Schizosaccharomyces pombe: one gene and its partners. Changing the gene in region 3 together with the main gene of any one other region gives a genetic interaction. Each region holds a gene or a part of one and is shown on either strand. Other genes may lie near its edges.

The links.
Region 1: mutations in scm3 (region 3) and mal2 impair growth when combined (synthetic growth defect), as found in Schizosaccharomyces pombe (one study listed by BioGRID).
Region 2: mutations in scm3 (region 3) and mis18 impair growth when combined (synthetic growth defect), as found in Schizosaccharomyces pombe (one study listed by BioGRID).
Region 4: of scm3 (region 3) and mis17, extra expression of one impairs growth in a mutant of the other (dosage growth defect), as found in Schizosaccharomyces pombe (one study listed by BioGRID).

What each region holds. Positions count from the first base shown.
Region 1 is NC_003424.3:4,182,634-4,189,307, reverse strand, and holds mal2 (kinetochore protein mal2), read right to left. Parts: upstream 4,027-6,674; 5' UTR 3,786-4,026; coding exon 2,874-3,785; 3' UTR 2,797-2,873; coding exon of another isoform or gene 2,083-2,796; 3' UTR 1,892-2,082; downstream 1-1,891. Other genes in the region: pop100 (Rnase P/MRP subunit), read right to left, coding at 1-1,761; wybutosine biosynthesis protein Tyw3, read left to right, coding at 2,083-2,796. UniProt on the Schizosaccharomyces pombe protein: Component of the kinetochore, a multiprotein complex that assembles on centromeric DNA and attaches chromosomes to spindle microtubules, mediating chromosome segregation and sister chromatid segregation during meiosis and mitosis.
Region 2 is NC_003421.2:511,033-516,639, reverse strand, and holds mis18 (kinetochore protein Mis18), read left to right. Parts: upstream 1-1,832; 5' UTR 1,833-1,869; coding exon 1,870-2,023; exon of another isoform or gene 2,024-2,068; coding exon 2,069-2,129; exon of another isoform or gene 2,130-2,176; coding exon 2,177-2,263; exon of another isoform or gene 2,264-2,311; coding exon 2,312-2,347; exon of another isoform or gene 2,348-2,388; coding exon 2,389-2,473; exon of another isoform or gene 2,474-2,529; intron 2,530-2,547; coding exon 2,548-2,709; downstream 2,710-5,607. Other genes in the region: rad16 (DNA repair endonuclease XPF), read left to right, coding at 1-38, 88-436, 476-803, 846-971, 1,017-1,277, 1,318-1,734; dcw1 (mannan endo-1,6-alpha-mannosidase), read left to right, coding at 3,100-3,312, 3,359-3,931, 4,005-4,314, 4,365-4,597; cbr1 (cytochrome b5 reductase), read left to right, coding at 5,300-5,607. UniProt on the Schizosaccharomyces pombe protein: Component of the CENP-A recruiting complex that ensures the integrity of mitotic spindles through maintenance of kinetochore factors mis6/CENP-I and cnp1/CENP-A. Maintains the deacetylated state of histones specifically in the central core of the centromeres.
Region 3 is NC_003424.3:1,858,537-1,864,392, forward strand, and holds scm3 (CENP-A histone chaperone Scm3), read left to right. Parts: upstream 1-3,270; 5' UTR 3,271-3,397; coding exon 3,398-4,408; 3' UTR 4,409-4,596; downstream 4,597-5,856. Other genes in the region: cell surface adhesion protein for conjugation Mam3, read right to left, coding at 1-1,605; mRNA export receptor Nxt1, read left to right, coding at 4,827-4,845, 4,898-5,226; protein dpc13, read left to right, coding at 5,436-5,824. UniProt on the Schizosaccharomyces pombe protein: Centromeric protein that plays a central role in the incorporation and maintenance of histone H3-like variant CENPA at centromeres.
Region 4 is NC_003423.3:3,210,984-3,217,555, reverse strand, and holds mis17 (kinetochore protein Mis17 ), read right to left. Parts: upstream 3,351-6,572; 5' UTR 3,286-3,350; coding exon 3,227-3,285; intron 3,187-3,226; coding exon 2,127-3,186; intron 2,078-2,126; coding exon 1,871-2,077; 3' UTR 1,618-1,870; downstream 1-1,617. Other genes in the region: rtc5 (V-type ATPase inhibitor and disassembly protein linked to MTOR), read right to left, coding at 1-996, 1,054-1,114, 1,167-1,287; transcription factor TFIIK complex ubiquitin-protein ligase E3 subunit, Pmh1, read left to right, coding at 4,006-4,033, 4,086-4,189, 4,251-4,390, 4,441-4,514, 4,560-5,028, 5,084-5,225; rRNA processing protein Rrp7, read right to left, coding at 5,439-5,806, 5,855-6,203. UniProt on the Schizosaccharomyces pombe protein: Component of the kinetochore, a multiprotein complex that assembles on centromeric DNA and attaches chromosomes to spindle microtubules, mediating chromosome segregation and sister chromatid segregation during meiosis and mitosis.

The DNA of each region.
Region 1 (6,674 bases), 2.3 Mb from region 3:
TAGCTGCAGAGTTTTATCTTCATCTCGTGAAGCCTTAACCATCTCGTTTAGATAAACCCAATCACAACAAAACGGGTTACCTATTTCTGAAAAATTATCTCCGAATTTTTGATAATTTACGCGTTTGGCAGGTGGACGTCTTTTCCAGCTATCTTCATTTCGTTTTTTTCTTTCCTCTTCGCAAAGTTGCCCACTAATCGTATCTGGATAATCAATCGGAAAGAAAGGCATTCTTTTTTCAAACGCAATTTGGTGCAAATTTTCTAATCCGCCAAAACGTATTCCTTTTTGATACATCATCTTCCTCCATACAAACTTGGCATAATCCCAAGGCAAAATAACAGTGAGTCCGTTCCATTCTTTTCTATACGTAATATACACGGGTATAACTTCTTTTTCAGAAGATTTTTTCTCATGAGTATGTCTATTTTTATTCTCAAAAACTGCAAAAGAGGGTATTTCCTGTCTCTCCCAATACCTAAAATGAGTGCTATATTGGTTTGCAGATGCTGGTAAACTGTTTTCAGCAGAATCTAATAAGCTTTTTTCTCCCTTTTCGGATAAATTTTTATCGCAACGAGTATTAACTAATGCTTTCACAGATATCGAGGCGCCCATGGGTAAGCATGCGCTTGAATAATTGGAAATCGACTGCCAAACTTTTCCTGCTTCATCTAATTCAACGTCGTCAAATACTTTGTGGAGCATAATGTTGCTATCGGGTCCGTGAATATCAAAAGATGCTAGATCTAGTCGCCAATCGTGCATAGCAATGCGATCATCCAAAACAGCTATACCAGATAAGTAATTCCATGCTTGTAGAAATGCAGATGGATGTAAACGTATAACTAACTGCACACATTCGGTAGGATTTTTTACAGGGATCTGTTTTTTGTCATCTTCTGTAGGGTTATTCCATTGTAGAAAACAAGGGCATATGAGCTCGTGTATGTCAGACTTCACGAGGTAAGATGTAAATGATCTAGAAGAATTCAGAAATACAGGAGGCAGTCCGTTTGCAAAAGAATTTCCAAACTTTTCTTTGAGAGCTTCGTATGGCCCGCTAATGCAAAACAATGGTTCATAAGACATGTCGAATGCAATTGCATCTTTCCGAAAAGCTGCTCGATGGGTAGGACGATAGGATTTCTCAGTCGGTTTTTCGGGAATGGCATATCCCCAAGCATTTATCATGTGTGCGCGTTTGCATACCCATAAATGAGTGGGAAGCCATACCTTCCGAAGTTGACGACCAGCAAATTTTCCACGTATTAACTTGACGGCAGCCAAGGACGGAATTCGCGAATCATCTGTAGAATTGTCTGTAACCAAGCTTCCCGTACTGTCAATTGCTTTGGTTTCACCTGATTTAGCTAACTTTCTTCGCAAGCGTTTGATGAATCTCTTTAACCGTTGTCTGGAAGGTGCAATGGGCAAAGTAGATGAGGAACTGAGTTGCATTTCATATAAAGCTCTATCCCTTAAACCTTTAGGTATCCTTTTTATATTATGAGAAGCTGCTCTTCTTCGTAAACATCGAGGAAGAGCTTGGAAAGCACGCTGAGCGCTGGATTCTTTTGATCTTTTCATAGCATCTTGTAAAGCCGTTATTTCAAAACTCCTTGATTCAATGAATTTTTTTAAGTCTACAGCACCATTTGAAAGGGCAGGTGATTCAACCTCTATGAATCTAGCATCAGCGAGCTTTGACCTTTTGACGTTTAGTCCCTTTGGTTGCGTTCCTCCAGTTGAACGCTTCATTTCATAAAATTAGATAAAGTGGGGGACGGTTTTTGTAGCAGCCTTAATTAGGAAGTTAATATTATACAGTGGAACTTGTTTGTTGCATGGATTGATAAATTACTCAAGCGCGTACGAAAATACCATAAAAATGATTTTTTCTATTTGATTTCTTTTATTTATTAGGTTTGAGCAAACGAATCTGCAAATATTGTTTTGAATTTAGAAAAAAAAATGTAGGTGCTTGATTTGGCAAGTTGACAACGCAAGTTGAAAAGTTGTAAGAATCCACCAACGAGTTGAATTAAGTCGTTGCAAGGAGTTCCTTGAAGAACAATTTGAATGAATATAAAAGGAATAGATGTATCATTTGATGCTCAAAAAAAAGAAATCTTAGAAGGCTTGAAATCCTCCGTACCTGATGCATCACCCAAAGGACACCCAGATAGCCCAATATTTCCATTGCTAGATGTTATAAACTCCCACCCGGATTGGGTAACAACTAGTTCATGTTCAGGAAGAATTTCAGTCTATGTACAAGGAGCAAATTCCAGAAAAGGAGGTGGATACTGGCTTTTCGTTAGTCATCAGGCACATGAAGAACTACCACCGGTTTTAGAAGATGAAAAAGTGGAATACGGAAAGGTTCCCAGTTCTCCGGTAGAAGGAAATCGGGAAATACAATACGCTTTTGAACCCATGATTCTGCATGTTCAAACGAGAAGTTTAGCGAATGCTCAGCATTTGCAAAGAGTAGCAGCAAGCTGCGGTTTTCGGGAAACAGGAATTCAAGGTAGTGAGCAGAAGTTTATTGTGGCTATTAGAACAAGTTTACGAATGGATATTCCTATAGGATGTCTTACAGCATCCGAAAAGCTTCAGTTTTACATTACTCGTGAATACATGTGCTTCCTTTTCAAGAGAAGCGTTGAGTATTTTACTGAAAATGGAAATCGAATGGCTAGACTGAAAGAGCAACTGGAGAGACAGGTAGAGAAAAGGATGAAACCAAGGCGGAAATTAAGGAATATGGACGATTATTTGGTGCAATCGTAAATAACTAACAAGTATAAAGTTTTTTGTATAAAAAGATAGTCCCTGTCTAATAATAATAAGAGTATGGTAATAAACAATCATAACGAAGCATGACTTTCTGGAGCAGTTAGGTGTGATACAAGTATATTAACCCAACGTTTGTTGTCTAATAAAGATAGTTCAAGTCTGTGATCTCTTTTCCAGTTTTCATCAGAATACTGATATATCCTTGATTTGACCACTCTAGTGGATTCTGAAGAGCAAACAAGGGTAGCTTGAATGACTTTCGGAATTTGAATGACAAGATGTGTACAAGAAAGATTGGCAGATATGTTTGTCCCATCAATTGTCAAAGACTTATTGATTTGTAAAAGTGCGTTTTTACGACAGATATATGCGGTCAATAATTTATCTACTTTCCACAAAAATATTCTAAACCTTTCAGGGTTCTTTCCAGTCAAATACTCGTCAGCCCATTCTTGTATGTTCAGAAAGCTTGGAATCGTATATTTATATAAAGCAAACGAGTCGTGAAATACTCGAAAAATTATATAATAGGGAACATCAAATCTATTTCCACCTTCTAGTTCTTCGTCCATGCCAGAGGCGGAAGATATTGGATTCTCTGAGAGATTCGTAAAGCCTATATTTACTGGATTCAACATGATATCGAACCGGACACCAAGAAGCGGTATAGAAGGAGCAGTCTCAATGGCTCCTGTCTTTTTATTTTTTACGAGAAGGGTCTTTCTAGATAACTCCTCAGGATCATTGGGTTGGAAAAAGGAAATACCAGAAAGTCGATCATAATGCAGTGCAGGTTGATTTAACGGAGTCTCTTTCAGAAATTCATTGTTTACAGATAAATTTTTGGACAACTCGGGCTTCTGAACGAGATCGGACAGTGTCGCATTATCTAAAGACTTTAATTCATCAAGCAATACATCCCTTCTGGCTTCAAGGACGGAAATTTCATCGATGAGTGTCGCATTGCCTTCTTCATCGTCCATGGCAGCAAAAAAAATTCATGGAACTAAAAAAACTGTAGTTTCAACAGTTTCTTAGGGCCTTATTGATAACATGAACCAAGCATAGAAATTCAGTTACGCTTAGACTCGTCCACGTATGTCAAAGCGTCGAAATACACAGCAGCTTTTATAATTTAATCACTGTAGCATTTCAGAGTTTCGAACTGGAATAGTATTTTAGACGAGATTTGTAATTAGATCAAAATTAGAGATTGGTAGGTTTGAAGATGTAATGGATAGGAAAAAATGAAGATTGCAAATCTATTTGCAACGAAACGAAAAATTATGCAATATTTTTAACTGTTTGATAATATGTAAATTAAATATTTTCTTAATGAGTTACAATAACAAAGAAATGTATAGAAAGCAAAGTCGGACAAGTTGTATATAACTATATAAAATTGAAGATAATTAAATCGCCAGTTTAAAAAAAAAAATTAAAATTAAAATCTAGGAAAGAAAACAGAATGGTTATTTACAAGAACAAAGAAATTTAACTTATAAAATATATAGAATTAAATTGACATAATCCAGGAAATGAGAATTATTTTGAAGAAAAAATAATGACATTTAACAAAATGACATTAAAAAAAAAGAAAAATAAATTAGTAAAGAAAAAAAATGAAGGTAGTTTTCCTTCTTATATAAATGATTTTAAAATCATTACATTTTATAACTCACCAATTAGTGCATCCCTATTAACAATTCTTTTATTAAAGCTCTTCACGTACAATCCCTTAAAACATTCATATTGCATTAAGAAAGCAACAAAATTGTATATTTAATATTAGATTATGAGCGCGCAAGTGCTATACATTGTAGCAGTTTTAAGGATCGTTGAATGTACATGGGGTTTTGATTTGACAAAAGCCAAGTTTGTGTTAAATGAATGCAAAGGGAGAATGTATTATTCAATGTTAAATAATATAATGTGAACTTTTAAGTGGTATTTGTTTACAATGAGCTAGAACAAACATGATAAATTACATTCTTTAATTACAGTATATATAGTTTAAATTAATGAAGCAAATGTCTACGGCCATACCTAGGCGAAAACACCAGTTCCCGTCCGATCACTGCAGTTAAGCGTCTGAGGGCCTCGTTAGTACTATGGTTGGAGACAACATGGGAATCCGGGGTGCTGTAGGCTTTTTGCTTTTTTGTAGAAAACTAAATTTTTTTTAGTTCATTTATTTTCTTTTACATTCTTTTTTATAAAATCAGTTTGGCATCTATAAAACAGGCAATTGTTATATAGTATATTTCATAGTGTCGAGTTGATTTTTGCTGTCATGTCTTTGATACAATTGAGAAAATGAAAATTTAATAGAAAAGTCTTTGTAATACAAAGAAAATCAATTCATCCAGACTGTAAAACTGGGTTCAAGCGACATTGGGCTTACAGTTTGTAAAACACTAAAAATCGGCGATATTCAATAAAAAATCTACAATTTCCAAAATAGCGGTGAGTTAAAGTGATTACTAAAAAGAAAATAAAACCCAATGAAATAAATTTGAATGAAGTAAGGTAGATTTTTTTTTTATTATTATTTATTTTATTTATTTATTTTTCTCTTCTATAGTAGGGATTGCTTAGATGAGCTTTAGTTCTGGGCATACAAGGCATACGAGTGTAAACACAAATTACCACTGCTGACTGAAAAACGGAAAAGTCCATAAACAACGATCAAAAGTCAAACAGAAACAAAAATTATTGATGTTCGTCTTTCGACTCTCATCACTGCTATTTTTCCTACTATTCGACTTTCGGTTTATAAACACTGTATATACTCGTTTACTACCAACCCTATTATTCCTCTGCTACAATATTGCTACTCATATACCATGATCTAACGCGTGTCACTATGCACCTTTATCGTATTTTAGCGCATTGAATTAGCGCTTGTTTTTTTGGGTCACACTTATCAATGCATCGGGGAGTCCCCCACTCCCCCCACTTACGATAGGCCAGGGTTTCACTATCATAGTCCATGCCACGTTCCAATCACCTTACAGTGAAACCGCCCGATCACAAGCTTAGTATTAGGCAATATTCAGCGATTCATTAAATGGGTTTAAAGAGAAGTAACGAGGCTGTATTAGGATGAAAATTCCGCCATATTTATGCCATTCATCTTTCCCATTCGAAGTATCATATTCAAAGGCGAATTCCTTCTCTCCTAACTAGATTTTTTCTGTAAATTTACGACTGAAAGCTCTTCCCTTTACAGTCCTCCTTCATTGTATCCTCCTTACCCTTGCCAATCCTTACAGCGAGTTCGGCTGCACTAGGCCCCCCTACTGCACCTTATCATATATGCACCATCACCACCGTGTGATGATTGGATATCTCGCACCTTCAATTCGCTCTATGCAGATAAGGACCGAGGGTGATGAAAAAGCAACGATATAGAGACGAGATAAGGACAGGTTGACCAGATAACGATTTTATATAAAGAAGGGTTTTGCCTACAAGCCTCTGTTTACAGAACTCACTTAAGCAGTTTGAAAACTTGCTAAAGTATTATTTTTAATTTTTTATTTTATTTTATGAAACTGGTTGCAGTCTGCATCGTCTGAATATAACGATCCATTAATATTTCTTTGGACGAGTTATTGCTGACTTTTCATACCAATTATATTTAAAACAGGAAAAGAAAGCACTTGAAGTCTTTTACAATCTTGAGACTTGCTATTATAATTTTTCATATTTACTTTTCTTGTTGTTTTACATAAACAGGATAAAAAAAGTTGTCAAATTTATTGTTATAATAATTTTATAAACTTTACTTTGGTTTTGTAAGCACTTTAGATTTTAATACATCTTTAATAGTGCGTGCCTTTTTCCATCCTAATTTCTATCTATTCATT
Region 2 (5,607 bases), on a different chromosome or scaffold from region 3:
AGTGTGTCATGAAACAATGTTAGCAGATACAGATGCAGGTATAAAAAAAACTCTCTTTAAAGGAAGAAATATTAACAAATCTTTCAGAAACATCCAATAATTCGATAATGATTATGTGCGCAGATGAGCGTACTTGTTTACAGTTACGTGATTATTTGAGTACGGTGACTTACGACAATAAAGACTCTTTGAAAAATATGAATAGCAAATTAGTGGACTATTTTCAATGGAGAGAACAATATAGAAAGATGAGTAAATCAATCAAGAAACCAGAGCCTTCCAAGGAGCGAGAGGCTTCTAATACAACGTCTAGAAAAGGTGTTCCACCTTCAAAGAGAAGAAGGGTAAGAGGTGGAAACAATGCCACTTCACGCACAACTTCTGATAATACAGATGCGAATGATTCTTTTAGTAGGGATTTACGCCTAGAGAAAATGTACGCTAATTATTAGGTTTTACACGCTAATAAGTCTAGTCTGCTCTCACACTTATCCAAACGTTATGAACCTGAAGTGGGCAATGATGCATTTGAAGTTATTGATGATTTCAATTCCATCTATATCTATTCCTACAATGGTGAAAGAGATGAGTTAGTATTAAATAATTTAAGACCTCGGTACGTTATTATGTTCGATTCTGATCCCAATTTTATTCGAAGAGTCGAGGTTTACAAAGCTACATATCCCAAAAGATCTCTAAGGGTTTATTTTATGTACTATGGAGGATCGATTGAGGAGCAAAAATATCTTTTTTCTGTAAGGAGAGAGAAAGATTCATTCTCTCGTCTTATTAAAGAACGATCTGTAAGTTATTCTAAACTTTTCAAAACTTGCTAATCTAAAAAGAATATGGCTATCGTACTGACGGCTGATTCCGAAAGGTTCGAAAGCCAAGAGTCAAAGTTTTTAAGAAATGTCAATACTCGTATAGCTGGAGGAGGACAGTTATCGATCACAAATGAGAAACCTAGGGTACGTTCATTATATCTTATGTTTATATGTATTAAAACGTTAAAGGTTATCGTTGACTTGAGGGAATTCCGTAGTTCGTTACCTTCCATATTACATGGAAATAATTTTTCTGTTATCCCTTGCCAACTCTTAGTGGGAGATTATATATTATCACCAAAGATCTGTGTTGAAAGGAAGTCAATTAGAGATTTGATCCAATCATTAAGCAATGGCCGTCTTTATTCCCAATGTGAAGCTATGACTGAATATTATGAAATTCCAGTTTTGTTAATTGAATTCGAACAACACCAATCTTTTACATCTCCAGTAAGTCTGACTAAAACAATCTATGTCTGACAGCTTTTAGCCTTTCTCCGACCTTTCAAGCGAAATTGGAAAAAATGATGTTCAATCTAAACTGGTACTGTTAACATTATCGTTTCCCAACTTAAGGATTGTTTGGTCTTCTAGTGCCTACGTTACATCAATTATTTTTCAAGATTTGAAAGCCATGGAACAAGAACCAGATCCTGCTTCAGCTGCCTCTATAGGTTTGGAAGCTGGGCAAGACTCAACGAATACTTATAATCAAGCTCCACTCGACCTGCTAATGGGACTCCCATACATAACTATGAAAAACTACAGAAATGTGTTTTATGGAGGCGTGAAAGATATTCAAGAAGCTTCCGAAACCTCAGAAAGAAAATGGTCAGAACTAATTGGCCCCGAAGCAGGAAGGCGTCTTTATTCCTTCTTCCGAAAACAGTTAAAGGACTATGAGTAATTTATTTTTTTATAATTTTGTAATATATTTAATTTTTGCTTCTACATCTGATATATATTGGTTCACCATATATAGAATGTTAAGCGCACCTAATTAATAACGACTACTACTAGATAAAATGAACTTTCCATAAGTATGTCCCAGACGGAAACTAGTCATTCGGGCTATATTGATTTTAAAAAAGAGTCACAACCTAGCGTCTTCCAATGTAAAAAATGTTTTCAAATAGTTGGTGATTCTAATGCTTGGGTTATTTCTCATCGAGAATATCTTAGTTTCACTTTGAGTGGTATGTGGTAAAAGAAATGTCCATGTAATTAATTATTTCATTTAGATGCAGTAGAAAATAGTGTACGCGTTGAGGATACGTTTAAAAGGAGTGATGATGGTCTTTGGTATGTTGCATGTGTTGCTCGCCAGTTTACTAATACAAAAATTATAGCGTCTATTCAGAGTTGAGTTGTACTAGATGCAATGAAGTGATTGGGAAGGTGTATAATTCTACACCTATATATCTTGATGATATTAGGTATGTCTAGTCGTACTTGGTTGACCAAATTTTAACAAAATCATGTAGAGATATGTATACTTTTTCAATGGACAAATTACAAGCGTAAGTTCATGATTTCATCTTAGTTACTAACCCCAGTGAAGCTACCAACTAGGTAATAAGACCGTAAATCCTGAAGGCCTTACACGGTATCAAGTTGATTTAGAAATGAGAGAGGACATTATAAAGGCATGTACAGTGATTCTTTATATAGTAGAGAAAAATAAACTTTAAGAAGAATAAATTACTAATTTTATTTGTAGTTGAAGTCCTTTTGTCTCTCTCTATATGAAAAGTTCGAACTTCACGATGAAACTTTACGCTCAGTTAAGGAGACAATATCCAGTTTAAAAAAACCGAAAATTGAGGGAAAGGAAGGTAAAAAAGAAAAGGCAAGAACATACTCTAAACGAACGAGGAAATAAGTCCACCGCTAGAAAGTACTGGGATACCATGTACAAACTGTTATATTCAAACAGTTAAAATTGCGGTTAAAACAAAAAGACACAATTTAAATAATACCTTTTTGATGTATTTTTTCTAAGGTTTTCCTTCTTGCTCATTGTGATATGCATGGGGCTGTCGGTCTCACGAATAAATGTGAGAGTATTTTCATTGAAAGGCTTAAGAATTTTATAGAAGATAGATTGCGTTAAGTTATATTTTTTCCCTACCTTTGGTCGTTCGTTGTTTACTGTTTAGATTATTTCTATCAGTCATTAATGAGTCATCATTGAATCATATGAAGGGCGACAGTCATCTGGATACATATGGGAATCTTCAAAGATACTACTCTATTTAATCCTTCTTTTTCAATGAGTCTTACAATCTTTATTTCACTTGCAACTATTTTGTTTTCCTTCGCTGAAGCCATTTCGGTGGATTTGAATGACACGTCCTCCGTTGACTTAGCCACTTCTTTAGTAGCTGATGGATTATTGAATTATTATGCTGGTCAGCACAAAGGAGGAACTATCGGGATGTTCCTTCCTCCAGCCTACTGGTGGGAAGCCGGGGCTGCTTGGAATGTACGTTGAGCTTAAAAGTATAATTTATTAACAACAATGGCTTTAGGGACTTTTAAATAGATACATTGCCACTGGTAATAGTACATATAACGAGTTGGTAAAGACCAGCATGTTGTACCAATCTGGAGAGGATTCAGATTATATGCCTTCGAATTATACAACATCTGAGGGAAATGACGATCAGGCATTTTGGGGTCTGACCGTTATATCTGCCGCTGAAGCAAACTTTTCAAATCCAGCAGCCGATGAACCACAATGGTTGGAACTGGCTCAAGCTGTATTCAACCAACAGGTCACACGATGGGACACGGATCATTGCAACGGTGGTCTTCGATGGCAGATTACTGAATTTAACTCTGGGTACAACTATAAGAACACTGTCTCAAATGGAGCATTTTTTCAGCTTGCAGCTCGACTGGCTCGATTCACCGATAACGATACTTATGCTGAGTGGGCTAATGTAGCATACGATTGGAGCCAAAGGATTGGGTTTATTCAAGAAGATTACACTGTATTTGATGGGAGTTCTATAAAAGATAATTGCTCATCTATCGAAATTACTCAGTGGACTTACAATATAGGATTATACATGGCAGGAGCAGCTTACATGTATAACTATGTACGTTTAAAGGATATATACATTATAACTTTACTGTAAAATGCAAAATGATTGTAACTAACAGTTTCACCAGACGAACTCTACGGTATGGAAAACTCGAGTTGAAGGTTTTGCCAACAAAACTGCCAAAACCTTTTTTTTCAAGGATATTATGTTCGAACCAGTATGTGAAATAGCTCTTTCATGTAACTATGATCAAACGTCTTTCAAAGGCTTTTTGACCAGATTTATGGTCTACACGGCACAAATGGCTCCATTCACTGCACCGTTATTAGAACCATTGTTGATATCCACCGCCAAAGCTGCAGCCGGGGCATGTTGCGGCGGTTATGATGGAGTGACTTGTGGTGTTCAATGGTGGTGGAATAACGATACTTGGGATGGTATGTTTGACTGTTAAAAAAAAACAGTATTGGTTCTAACTTTATAATAGGACTTTATGGCCTTGGAGAGCAAATGTCTGCATTGGAAGCTATTCAAGCTCCCTTACTTTTAAAATCGCTTCAAGTCTTTAAGGCTTCGAATGGAGGATCATCAACAGGAGACCCCAATGCAGGGCTTTATACTGCTCCTGTATCTTTCGCTAACAAAAATTTTGAAAACCTGAGGAAACATTGGATGCTATTGGGGTTCTTCCTTTTAGTGCCTACACTGGTCCTTTACTAAAAAATGTGATGTTAAGTAATGCAAGTTGATGGATCTAGGGTTTTTAAATTGCTTCTTCTTACTTGGAAACAATTACCTGTCTTTTAATGCTTGTTCCTCAGAGACGGTGTTTCACTTCCAAACTGTATACCGAATTATATATAAATAGATGGATATATCTCATGTATTCCGGTAGTAGATCATTGCTGAAAGACTATTTATTAACGAATTTACAAAATTTAGTTATTAAAATTTAATTCATTTCTTAAATTATGAATCGGCGTGATAAACAAGCATATGCTTGCGAACAAGTATGGTTCGACAAGCTGGTTTTTCAAAATAAATAATTTTAGCAGATTTTGAAGCGAAAGCCCTCAATCTATATAATTTACAATGAAATGGATTATGTGATGATTTATGTTCTCTTTCGTCAGTATTCCATGCTTAGTTGTTCATGACCTTAAAAAATCATTCGAGAAATCTGATTAGTTTTATAGACTTGCCCTTGACCAAACTTCTACTGTTAGCAATACTGCAGGAATCGTGAAAACTAGAGATTTCTTTTAAATTTTTTGAAACTATTGAAAGGTTTCTTATTCTTTAAATTATTTTAGTTTCTTGAAGATTTTGTAATTTGAGTCTTCTGGAAACGTTTCGCATTTCTTCTGCTTTCAGGCTTCTCTACTTTTTCTTTAGTTATTTTGGCTCACAATCCTAATTGAAATGGCCAAACAAACTCTTCTTAGTACCCCGTTGCATGGAGTCTATATTCCAGTGTTTTTGATCATCTTTGGTACTTACATTGTGAAACGCGAATGGGTGGGTTACGCTATTGTTGTGGCATTCTCTCTTGGTTTTCATAAGTTCTGGCGTGGACGCGTTCGTAAAGTATTGAGTGATAAAATTCAACAATTTGAACTTAGTGATAAAGCTGTATTGAACCACAACACTGCCATTTATCGTTTCCGTCTGCCTCGCGCTAACGATGTTCTTGGTCTCCCCATAGGACAACATTTAAAGGTCTTTGTTGA
Region 3 (5,856 bases):
TGATTTAGCATTCGTTAAGCTTAAGGAAGAAGAAGCAGAGGTAAAGTTTTCTGTGCTCAACTGAGAAGAGCTAAGACTTGAAAACTTAGTGAAAGAAGTAGAGCTTGTAACAAGAGATGAATTTACAGGGGGAATAACAACTAATGAACTAGAGGTTGAAAAAGCTTCGGAAGAAGTATAGTTTTCTGCAGATGTAGGGGTAACGCTATACACAATGGAAGATTTAATCGAACTCGAAGGAATGAAGGTATTGTTTGTATAGCTTATAGAATTTGAAGGTGAAGGAGTGATGGTTGTCAGGAATGTGTGAGAGTCATAAGTGGTTGTTAAAATTGTTTCAGTGAGAGTCGTAACATAAGTGAGGGTTTCAACCTGAGAACCGTGAGTGGTTGTTTGAACAAATGAAGTAGTAACTATTTGATGATCACCTGATTTTATTGAACCAGAATTTGTTAAAATAGAACTGGTTGGAGAACTCACCGATGGCGAAATAACTGATGATGAGATTGGTGAGGCTGAAGTCAATTGATCAGTAGACGAAGAGCTAGTAGAGCGTACGGTGGAGAAGGATTGGGTTAGTAGTGAAAGGAGGGAACTAGGAAAGCTACTTTCACCAATAGTAACCAAAGATGAACTTGAAGAAGGCAAATTTGTAGTTTCAGAGCTGGAAGTTACAGAGTTGATTAACGTGTAGGTGATAACACTAGAATCACTTGTAGCGGTTACAGTAGTAAACACACTATCAGTAAGAGTGGAAGATGTTTCCACTAAATAGCTGGACGAGCTTGAAGCTGGAGAAGACAAAGTGGAGGGTGTTGCGGGGATATCAGTAGAAAAGGAAACAGTAGCTTCTGAAGTACTAACAGGAAGTGTACTCGAAGCAGTAGTTGAAGCTGCAATGTCTACGGATGAAGAAGTATATGCCGATTCGGTAGAAGTGATACTTACAGAAGTAAGTGTTTCCGAACTGCTAACAGCAGGGGAATTAACAGATGTAGTCAAAATCACTGTATTTGTGGATGAAGATGAGTCACTGGGTTCACTGGAAACATAACTAACAGAACTAGCTACTTTCGATGAAACGCTAGCTGATGGAGAAAATACGGGTGTTGATGAAGGGCTCATGGATAATGTGGAAATTTGAGAGCTAACAGCCGTACCAGTAGGTGAGTTGATAACAGATGAACTAGTACTAGAAGAAATGTCTACTGTAGAAGTGAAAGCTTGACCACAAGACAACGTAACATATTCTGTAACAGTTTGAACTCTGTCAACGTATTCCGTAACGGTGGAAGTAGGATTGGAAGAAGCTGCATTATTAGAATTGCCAACAGAGTCAATTAAGTCTTGAATGGAGGAGTTGGAAGACCCGATAACACCAATTATAGTAATGTACTTGGCATCTAAGGTACTTAGAATCTCAGAAGCAGAGGTTGAGTTATAGATATTGCCAACTTCGAGAGGGCTTGATTGGCAAGATTCTAAATTAGAAGATGAAATTAAACCTACTGACCGACTGACGTTAAAAGTGTCATCAAGTGCAGATGGGGATGCCCAGGAAAATCCTAGCAAAACGAGAATAAAGAAAGCCAAAGCAATCGACATGACGAATTATGGGAAGATCAAGCGATAAAAGAAAAATTATAATTAATAATGTTTTTCAAAGAAGAAGAAAAGAAAGTATTAAAAAGAAGCAAGACTCAAATCAAAAGATAGATAAAAAATTGAGAAATGCGATGCAATGCAATGAGAAGTTATTTCAAAATTCTACTAGTCTGAAAAAAACTAAAAAATGAAAAAGCAAAAGAGTGTCAAAAGGTAATGAGGAATAAGTAGACGAGCGAATGGCAAAATCAGAGAGGTTTCAAAAAAATCGAGTTAAGTGATCAAAATTCCTTGCTGAACCTATTTGTCAATTGCAATACTAGTACTAAAACAAAGTCTTCGTCGTTCCCTTCTTTTTTTTCTGATTGCAGTTTCTTATTCAGCTTGCTTTACGAAACCTTCAAATGTAATGACAAATATGGAGCTCTATGCGGTTTTTTATACTTAGGATCCATGGTGAAGGAATACAAAGAAATTCGAGTATTTGAACTATACAATGCTCAAACAATGGTGTAGTGTTTTAAAGAAAGTGCAATTATGGAGTAGTTGAAAGAGTTGCGCTGTACTCAACTTCCTTTGTTTCATCGGCATGCTGTGCTATTCAGGTAACGGGTACGTTTATTGTTGGAGGGGAATGAGTAATTCCTATTGTCATATTCCATATGGTGTAGTAATTCTTTTCATGTGAATGCTTCGGTAAAGAAATTGTTCAAAACAAGCATACCGTAAGAAACTGAAACATGAAACGACTCGGTTTTGCTTCAAGTTATAGAAGACTGTGTTCATGAGACTAAGTCACAAAGAGCCAAAAATAGTTTATTTTACAATACGTTCCCTATCGTGTCCAAATTGTTCTGTCGTTTTGTTTAACATTTCTATTGTTCTCGCTATTGTCTGTTTCACTTGGCACTTAGTAAGAATGCAAACAATGCCGAGATCAATTCATCCTTTGTTCTAATTATTTAGCGATGATTTCTCCAATTCTATGTTGTAATGGAATTGATAATAGTTACTAGTTGGTACAATAGACACTTTCTAAAAGAATTCTATTGAGGAGCTGCGCTACGTATCCTCATATTTACATGAATGAACAATCAAAATATGGCTAAACTTGTCGAACAGAACGCTTTCAACTAATACGAATTATTTGTGAAAGAAAGCCAAAGAATCGTCACGCTTCTTTGGGGCGATGTGACAAATGGAATGCTCAACTTATGGGATTTTTTTATTAAATTGTGCAAATGATGCAAAGTAATATTCACCAAAACGAGTATCCTTATTTTCTTTATTTTAGGTATCGTTGATTTCTCATTTTATCATTAAAAAAGTAATGTGGAATTGCTATGTTCGTTGGAATCCACAAGGTATCGCAGCGTTCGTTATTATTACAAAATTGTATGTCTATTAATTTTATGTATTTTAGAAATTCTTAAACAGTATAGAATTAGTGCAAGAACAGATAAATCAGTCTTTTGGAGCAATGAGTTAATTTACAAGCGTTAAGCGACCATCATTGAAATTACACTTTTGCATAAACTATTCAAAAGAACTTTTCATTATCTTTTTTTTTTGATCTCTAAGTTCTAACAGAAATTAAATCTAAAAGTCATTCGTGAATTAGTTACGAAACTCTAATACAAGTCTACAGTTATGGCACCGTTCACTAATAAACCACTACTGAAATCGCTTTCCTACTAATAACTGAAAATCTCCAATTTTTGCCTTAAGAAATTTATTGGAAAGGATTTTTTGAACAAAATTTCTCAATACCAAATGATTTTAACTTTCAATCATGTGCAATCGTCAACCGAAAGCCGTTGACCTGCCTCCAAACTATTCTTGTCCACATCTGTTGTCTTTTCAGTCTGTCGAATTTAATACTAATCCTACGGCTTGTGATGATGTGTTTTGTAAAAGAATTGAGTCCGAAAAGAAGTACAACGACTTTTTGGAATCTCTTTTCAAAAAATATGGACGCGACACTTCTGATATAGCTGATGAAGTAGATCTTGCAACTGGTGAAATTATTGTTAATAATGGACATCTAGAAGCTTTAAAAACAAAAGATGATATATGGGATCCTACATTTAACAACCTTGAAATCTCAGCGTCAAATGGATACGAAAAAAAATTAGACTCAAGCATTGGCAACCCAGGGGAAAAAGCTGTTTCACCAGTCCATATAGAGGATTTTCAGTCTCCCCAGATCTATAAATTTAAAAATCTATCACTTCGTGATGAAATGGTGTCAGATTGTGTGTTTGCAGATGAAGTTCCTTTAGCTTCACTTTTTGTGGAAAATGTTTGTAATGAAACTATACCCTCTCAGTCATGCGTGAGACTAAAAATCAATGATAAAACAAGAAAAGTTGATGCTTCAGCTTTGGAAAAAAAATCTTGTCTGTTGCCAAACTCATCAGGAACATTAACAGATCAGCGTGGTTTGGATACAATCAAGCATAAAAGCATAGAACAAAATGAGATTTTGCACGTCATCTCTGATACTTTATCTTCACCGAGAAGAAGGAACCCTTTATTATCATCTCCTAAAACTCCTTTACGTAGATCTTTTTCTAAGTCAAAAGTCCGAAACTCCAATTCTACAAAACGAAGAAACTTTATTTCATTAATTTCAATGATATCCCCTCGACCTAATCTTTCTACCCATCATTTTAATCTTGGTTTTCAACCTTTAAGTCAACAAACTTCGTTCTCAGGAAGTAGCACTCAGAACCCTCATTCTTCCAGCACTTGTAAAAAAGCATTTTGTTTCCAATGCATTTCTGAGTCAAAAAAATGTTGATTCAGCTTTAAACCACTTATTCTCCCATCTTCTTCGCTTGCCATACCATGGCTTTTAATGACCTATTTCTTCGAACATATATTTATTTTTTGTTTTCATTTACAACAAATTGTCTTTCGAGTTATCATGTTACATTCGAATATATATTTTTTTACTAATATATTAATCATTCGTTGAGTTTTTACGTGATCTATGCTTTTGTAGTATGGCAAATGAGTACACATAATTGTTCTCCACTCTTCATGTTATAAGTAAAAATCGTAGTCATAAAGATATCTAGCCGAAATATCCATTCAGTGTGTTGAACAAAGATTATCTTTAAATATCGCTTAATGAGTACAATATTTCAATTTATAACACATGTACCTGTTTAAATGACTACTTACACCACTACAAATTTCTGTCATTGTGAATCATTATGGAGTCGAGTGTAAAATGTATGTTAAATGCCGCATTACTAAAGCTTTATCTATAAACTAACAATTAAAGATGCGCAGGAGTTCGTCCAACGGTATTACTCATCTCTTGATACGAACAGAAATGGGATCGCAGAATTTTACAGAGAAAATAGTTTGATCTTATGGAATGGAAAACCCATGCAAGTAACCGAATTTACCTCTATGATAGTTAATCTTCCATACTCCAAAACTAAAGTTGAGGATTTCGATAGTCAACAGGTCATGGGTAATGATATGAATATCATAATTGTTGTTTCAGGAACAATACGTTTCGATGGAAAAAAACCTCATGTATTTTCGTATGTCAGTTTTTATTGTATTTACCTTCTTGTACTAAGATCCTCTACTAACTTCCTTTAAGAGACAATATAGTTCTACAACAGGAAGAATCAAAGTATTATATTGCCAGTCAAAATTTTAGAATTATGAGTGAATAATACGTATCCAAAACAAAGATTTCATTTCGTTTAGAGTTTGTATTAATTTGCCGCAGCAAGCTTATCTGAGCGACACATTCCCTAATCCCTCATACTTCTTTAGAACACAAAATTAACCACCACCTTACAAATATGAAATATTGGAAGTATTTGTCTCAGCTGACTATCAGAAGGCCTCTTACATACAACAATGCTCTTCTGTATAGGAATAGGTTTCCTAGTATATTAACATGGAAGAGAAGTGCGACTACGCAACCTGACGACACTATTTTCAAGGATCCAGTAATGGATGAGCAAGTCCAGAAACTTGAAGAGAAAATGAGTTCATTAGTTGTTAATGATCCGGAACTTGCTCAAAAGGTTGGCCGTCTTCGTCAGTTTTTTGAGAAATACGGCCTTGAAGCTGGTTCAAAACCGTCACCTCTTACTATCCTAAAGATTACTCGTGATCCGGAATTCAAGCAGTTAGCTGAAACTATCACGGAGATATTTAAAAAATCTGGAATTCAAAATGATCCTGCGTATGTTTTTTTGAATGTATTCCATTGATTGT
Region 4 (6,572 bases), on a different chromosome or scaffold from region 3:
TGCGATTGTCTCCAACGAGTGGATATATAAGCACCAAGTAAGATATTTTCATTGTGAAAATCTGCACCAAATTTTTGAGGCACAGCTTTATCAGTCCCAATGCAGTGTGGTGGATATTTTCTCGGAATTGTAGCATCTAATGATATTGGTCTAGAAGAGGATTTGTGATTGGCATTGATTTTCTTTGCTTTAATTAAGAGAATCGAAGGATTGTGATAATTACACATTTTTCTCTCTAGTGCGTACATTGAGTAACCATGAAAGCTTGCTCTAAACAGACTTGTCAAGCCATTGACCTGCCATACAGATTTGGGTAAAAAAAAACAGATTTGAGCATGGATAAGTGGGCTCAGAATTGCAAAGTCGTTTAACGGTGACACATCATCTTGCACTTTTTGATTGTGAGCTGAATGCGGAAATAGTGCCAACTCAAATAAAGATCCTAGAGATTTAAGGAAATATGGATTTGACTCAAGAAAATGAAGTAAATAACTCGGTTTTATAATATTACTAGATATATCCGGACTTATACCTTGTAGCACATAAAAGGCAGCTTTTTGTTCTTTCACAAACATAGAGTCCAAAAACGAATTAATATGACAACCAACCGATTCACCAGGCTTAAGTTTAGAAATGCAAAGTAACAGCAAACATAGCTGATAAATATTTGACCTCCGTATACCGAAGTTTTGATCAAAAAAATTGCTTATGTTCTGAACATCACTATGTATTAACCGCGAAATTTGTTTAGAATTTTTTAAAACTTCTACTCTAAATTTTGGAAAAGAGTCACACCAACTTGCTATGATCATCAAATTGCTCTCAAAATCACTCCAAACATCTTTGTGGCGACCAGTGTAAGAAGCAAGAAATCTCGCGAGAGCAGAAAATGTAAGACGTTGCCTATTGATATTAAGATCCCTTCCAAAACTACAAGCGGAGCGATAAAAAAATGGTGAAAGTTGGATAACGTCTGGAATTCCAAAGAACGTCGTGCTAAAGCACCTTTGTTAGAATGAACAATTTCAACAATACCTTTAAAAGCGAACATACAAGGCATCCTCAACCCAAATTTTTTCACCATTATCAAAGCTTGATAAAGCCTCGAAATTCTCTTTTTATTAAATCATTAGCTTTGTTAAACAAAATTACGAAAATTGACAAACCTTTTAAATTATACCGTTCTAAAGCATTAAAGTCTCGTAAGAAAGAAGAAGTTTGTTTCATATATTCTTCATGAGTCTGTAACTGCCAAAGAACTTTAAATTGGGACTCCTTTTGACCCATTTTTGGGCTGGGTATCTTCGGCGTGATTCAGAGTGTAGTGAATATGACTTCATATTCTATGAAAATAGAGTTGTGCTAAACGAAGTTACAAGTTAACTAATATTGCACTTAATACTCATCTAAATTGAAAACAAACGCGATATACAAAGATATCCATTTAGAAGCAAATTCCTTTGCATTTTTTTGTTTTTTTTATTTTCCTAACTTGTTAAAAAAATACATGCTCAATTGTAAGTGTAAGCAGTTCAAGTTAGTGACGAAAAAGTCGAATTTCTACTAGAAAATTATGCAGCATACAATTTAAAACGGAAATGCTGTCGAAATAGAAAATTGGGGTAATAATGACATGCCATTTATTATACATTCATATATTCATATACTCATATTTCAAAAAATTTTATATACAAAAACCCAATCAAAGCTTTCACATTAGCAAAAGATAAAGGGTAGTTTAGAACACAAGAAAAGCAAAACTTTAAGAAACAGTAGAAATCCAGCCGATTTCCCAAACAGACGCACCGAAATGAAAAATTATACAAAAAGGTGATAGAAAGACAGCGGAGAAGTTGCGATATGGCAACTTTTAGGAAAGGAATTTTTGATAAAATTGGGTTAGTAAAGACTGTAATTCAACTAGCTGCGATTCGAGTCCATAATTTTTTGATAAAGCAGACGCATATTCATTTATTTCTGAAAAAGCTTCGGTAGAGTTTGGAGTTGTGGTTACATTTTCTAATTCGTTTTTCACTGTTTCGCATTGTGAGAAGAAATCGTCAATATCATCCAAAAACTATATTAAGTTAGTTAAGCGTAAATTAAAGAGCCAATGTTATGCGTACGTTTTGTTGATGGGACAATTTAATGTACTCATTTCGTAACTGTATTTTTTTACGTTGCACTGATAGTCGATCTTCCCTCAATTTCGAGAGATCCCGTTGAACAGCTAGTTTCTCATTTGCTGCTTTTTTACAAGCTGTTGATAAAATTCGATTAGCGTCCAGCAAGTCTATTAACTCTAGTAAACGAATAGAAACTTGTTCCACAAACGCATTTTTTACCTTGACTACATAGGGTTCTAGTGGCTCATTCTCTTTTATAAATTCTTGAAAAAATTGCTGTACGGCATCAAGCTCATTAAGAGTCTTTGACCCTCCTGCTTCTTTAGAAAGTTTGGTTAACTCGATACGCACGAGCTCATCTGAGGCTCCCACTACAATATCCTTTTCTGTTGATTGATCCAAAAGATTTCTAGGAGCCATTGATGATGTCTGTAAGGAACTTTGCAGACTACTACTTTGATTCGTCAAAGATTCCGGAGAAGAAGTGGAGATAGGAGAAGCAATTCGCTCTTCAGGGGCCTGAGAACTAAATGTTGTTCCTGTCACATTGCCTGGATGTTCCTCTTGGAACGAATCTTGAGATGAGTCGAGAGATGACAGCCTTTGTACTTTGTTAGGTGGTGAATTTTCTAGGATTGAAGAACTATATGCATCAGAGGTTTCTATATTATCACGTTTGTGAAACGGAATGGATTCCCTTTGTATTTTTTTCTGCTTATGAGAAAAAAAATGATTGTCTTTGACTAAAATATTTGCGCTACTCTGCGTCTCACGTGCGACAGCCGATGAAGATACATTTTCGATGCTGGAAACGGAATTTTCCCGAACTACTTCTTCAGAAATCCTTCTTTCAAGTATATTTTCTTGATCGGAAATAGAAAAAATAGATGTACTGTCATCCAAATCGCTAATTTTATGATATGCCTCTGATTGAGATACAATTTCAAGGTTTTGTTGGTTTGAAGCAGGCGAAGAACGAGTTGAACTAGAAGTAGATGACTCTAAATTGGCCAGAAGGTTTTGATCTAATGAAAACTCAACATTTTGAATTTTGTAGCGTCTACATTGGTTAATTTTTACAAAGTTTTGAAATAACATACTCAGCTCCACGCATTCGTGCTGCTCGTCGCTCATCTACGTTATGGGAGTTATTTTCCATAATATTTCATGCAAAATTTTTGCTTTTCTACGCGTATAGTCAAACATGGGGTTTTGGTAGTTGACGAATTCATCCAGCCTTTCTTTCTAGTCATGAATTGATTTTAGCTATTCTTTGTACAGCCCAAATAATAATTTTAACACCATATATTTTAAACTACGTATTCATAAAGCAAACAAATTACACCTATGTAGTTTAATAGTTAAATGTTCGACATATATATAAAACATTCAAATTCAAGTTCGTAACTATTGAAAATTTTCCAAACTCCTATGTGAGAATAAAATAGATAATTTTATTTTTTAACAAACTGATCAAATTTAGTAAATGTCCATTAAGTTTTCTGATTGCATGCCCGTATACATAGAAATTACCAAGTTATACGACAAACGGAACCAAATTTAGTTAATATTTATGTTGGTTCAATAATTATTATTACATTAATCTAAATTTTCGTATTTTTGGACTCAAAAGACTTTAGATAGCTGGTAGCTAGGGAATGAGTTGATGGTCGTCGTGTTTGTAATATTGAAGGCGACTACTTCTAAAAGTTTAACACCACGTATTGCGCGCTTTTTTTGTCCAAATATTATTTCTTTATACAATCCGAAAAGTAACGTTTACTATTCAACATAAATTCGATTGAAACTTTGAATTTATCGTTTGTCATTCCCGTTCACTGCATAATACGAATTAATAAAAGTAAACTATAAAAGAAAGATGGACGATGAAGGTGCTAGGAAAGTTGGTAAGCATTAATTAATTACCTGATTTATTTTAAAGCTGACCGAGACATATAGATGAAAAATGTCCGTTGTGCCAGGCGGACAGATATTTAAATCCAAATATGAAATTACTTATAAACCCTGAGTGCTATCACAAGATGTGTGAGTCTTGTGTAGACGTATGTTTGATTGCATTTGTTAATACAAATAAGAAATGAAGCATGATTTGCTAATTCATAGAGAATATTTACAACTGGACCTGCTCAATGCCCTACTCCTGGGTGCAACAAAATTCTCAGAAAAGCCAAATTTCGAGAGCAAACATTTGAAGATGCTCAAATTGAGCGCGAAGTCGATGTTCGGAAGCGGATATCTCGAATGTACGAACACTGTAGCTTTTTTTTTAATTTACTCTAACGTGCGTTTTTAGCTTTAACAAAGGACAGCAAGAATTTGACAGCTTGCAGGCTTACAATGACTACTTGGAAGAAGTTGAAATTTTAAGTATGTTATTGACAGCGTCAGAATTTTATTAACAATTTTTTTTAGCATTTAATTTGATTTATAAAATCGACGTTGAAGAAACTGAGGAAAAAGTTAAACAATATGAAAAACAAAATCGAGATTCTATAGCAGCAAATTCTGCAAGAGCCGCCGCAGAAGCACGCATTTTGGCTCAAAACGAGATTCTTCTCAAACGCCAAAAGCAAGAAGCAAGAGAAGCGGCTATACGTGAGCATCAAAAAGAAAAGGAAAGACGTGAACAGGTTGAGCAACAAATTATTTTTGATTTAGCTACATCAGGAAAAGATCCTAACAAAATTATCCAACTATCTGATTCCCTTAAAAAGCAACAAGAAAACATTGCCTCTTCGGTTTCAAACATTTCACGTTCATCTTCAATTCTTCTATCTGATGTTCAGCAAGTAGCAGAGGATACTACGCCTTTTAGTCCTCTTGCTGGAGAAAAAGATGGGAGCAAGTATTTTTCATACTCCAAAAACACCTATCAAGATTTGTAAGTGTCAATTTTGTAGCATCACCCATAAATATCATACTAACAACTCGATTAGATATTTGGAAAAAGTTTCGCATGAACCAGGCCGCAAATGCGGTTTCCGTATAGAAGATTGTCATTTGCGATGCTTATATGAGGCTTTTAGTGGCATTGATTACGATTTAGAAAGTCTCAAAAAACTTGAAGTAGCAAGTTAGTCTTGCTTTAATGCTCTCACCATGCAGTTACATTTCATTTTTAAGTAAACGACTATTCCATTTTCATACTAATATATTTATATACGTTTGTGGTAAGTATACTTTATTCTTTGTATTAGTAAATCATAGCCTTTGTATATTACCATTATCCCTAAAATATACAAACTAAAACAAATCCTTGTGATGCTCCCAAAAAGATTAAAACCTATAATATTAATACGGTTTGAATTGCCGCTTTTCTTTTAATTGTTGGATACGCTGTTTATCGAACTCAAACTTATGAGCTAAATCCAAAAGAGCCTTCTTTTTCTTTTCCCGAAGCTGGAAACGGTAAAAATCTTTGTGGATCCCAGTGTCTTTTTTCTTTTCCAATTGACGCTCAGCATCCTGAGGTCGCCCGACAGGTGCCCGGCCGCTGCGAACGACCGTTACGAATCCATCTTCATCAGGTTGATTTTTCATAGCGAATAGTCTCCTCTTTTCTGCTATTTCCTTTTTAGTAACACGTTTCATGTATGAATCAACACTTTCGGCTAGAACACGTGGATTGACAAACTGTCTATCATAACTTTCTACATAACCTATTAAACACATTAGTATTTCCAAAAAAATAATGACCATGTTCTTACGTTTCAAACCAGTATGCTGTGTGAACTTCCAAGGAAGCGAGGTCGTCTTTTTAGAAGCTGCCTTGATAACTTGTTTAACTTCAGCGGGCTCGACTAATTTGACGCGTAAATGGGTGCCACTTTTCAAAAGGCCACTAATATTAGGATAGATATTAACGATACGACCGCCCAATTGAGAAATTGCTCTTTTCAAAATCTTTTCAGTAGTTGTGATAGGAACATTAATCAAATACAGTGACTTCTTTTCAACATCTTCCGTGTCTTCTTTCAAAAATATACTATGCAACCTCTTTTTATTTTCCAAATAAATTTCTAGTTTAACAAACCCTTTTTCTTTGAGCTTGTCCATTTATATGAGTTGTTTGGTTCTTGGGTAAAATGCAATTTGTTACTGAGCTTGACCGAGGGCAAGACCATAGGAGCTGTATACTCTTATACCTTCGCATACTTCATCTCGTTGTGACTATAATTATTATTATATACAATATACATTAAGAATGTTAGAATAAGCGAAAATTAAACTAAGATTTGCTTATTTTCTAGGATTAAAAAAAAAATGTAATTATACAACTTGTAATTTATTTGCTGCTAAATAAAAGCTCCAAAAAGCAATGTAATAATTGAATTGGGAGCTAGAGGTGTTGGATTGTAAATTAATAAAAAAATACAGCTATATTGATATGCGTGGTTGCTAATTGCATTTAGTGTTCCTAACCAA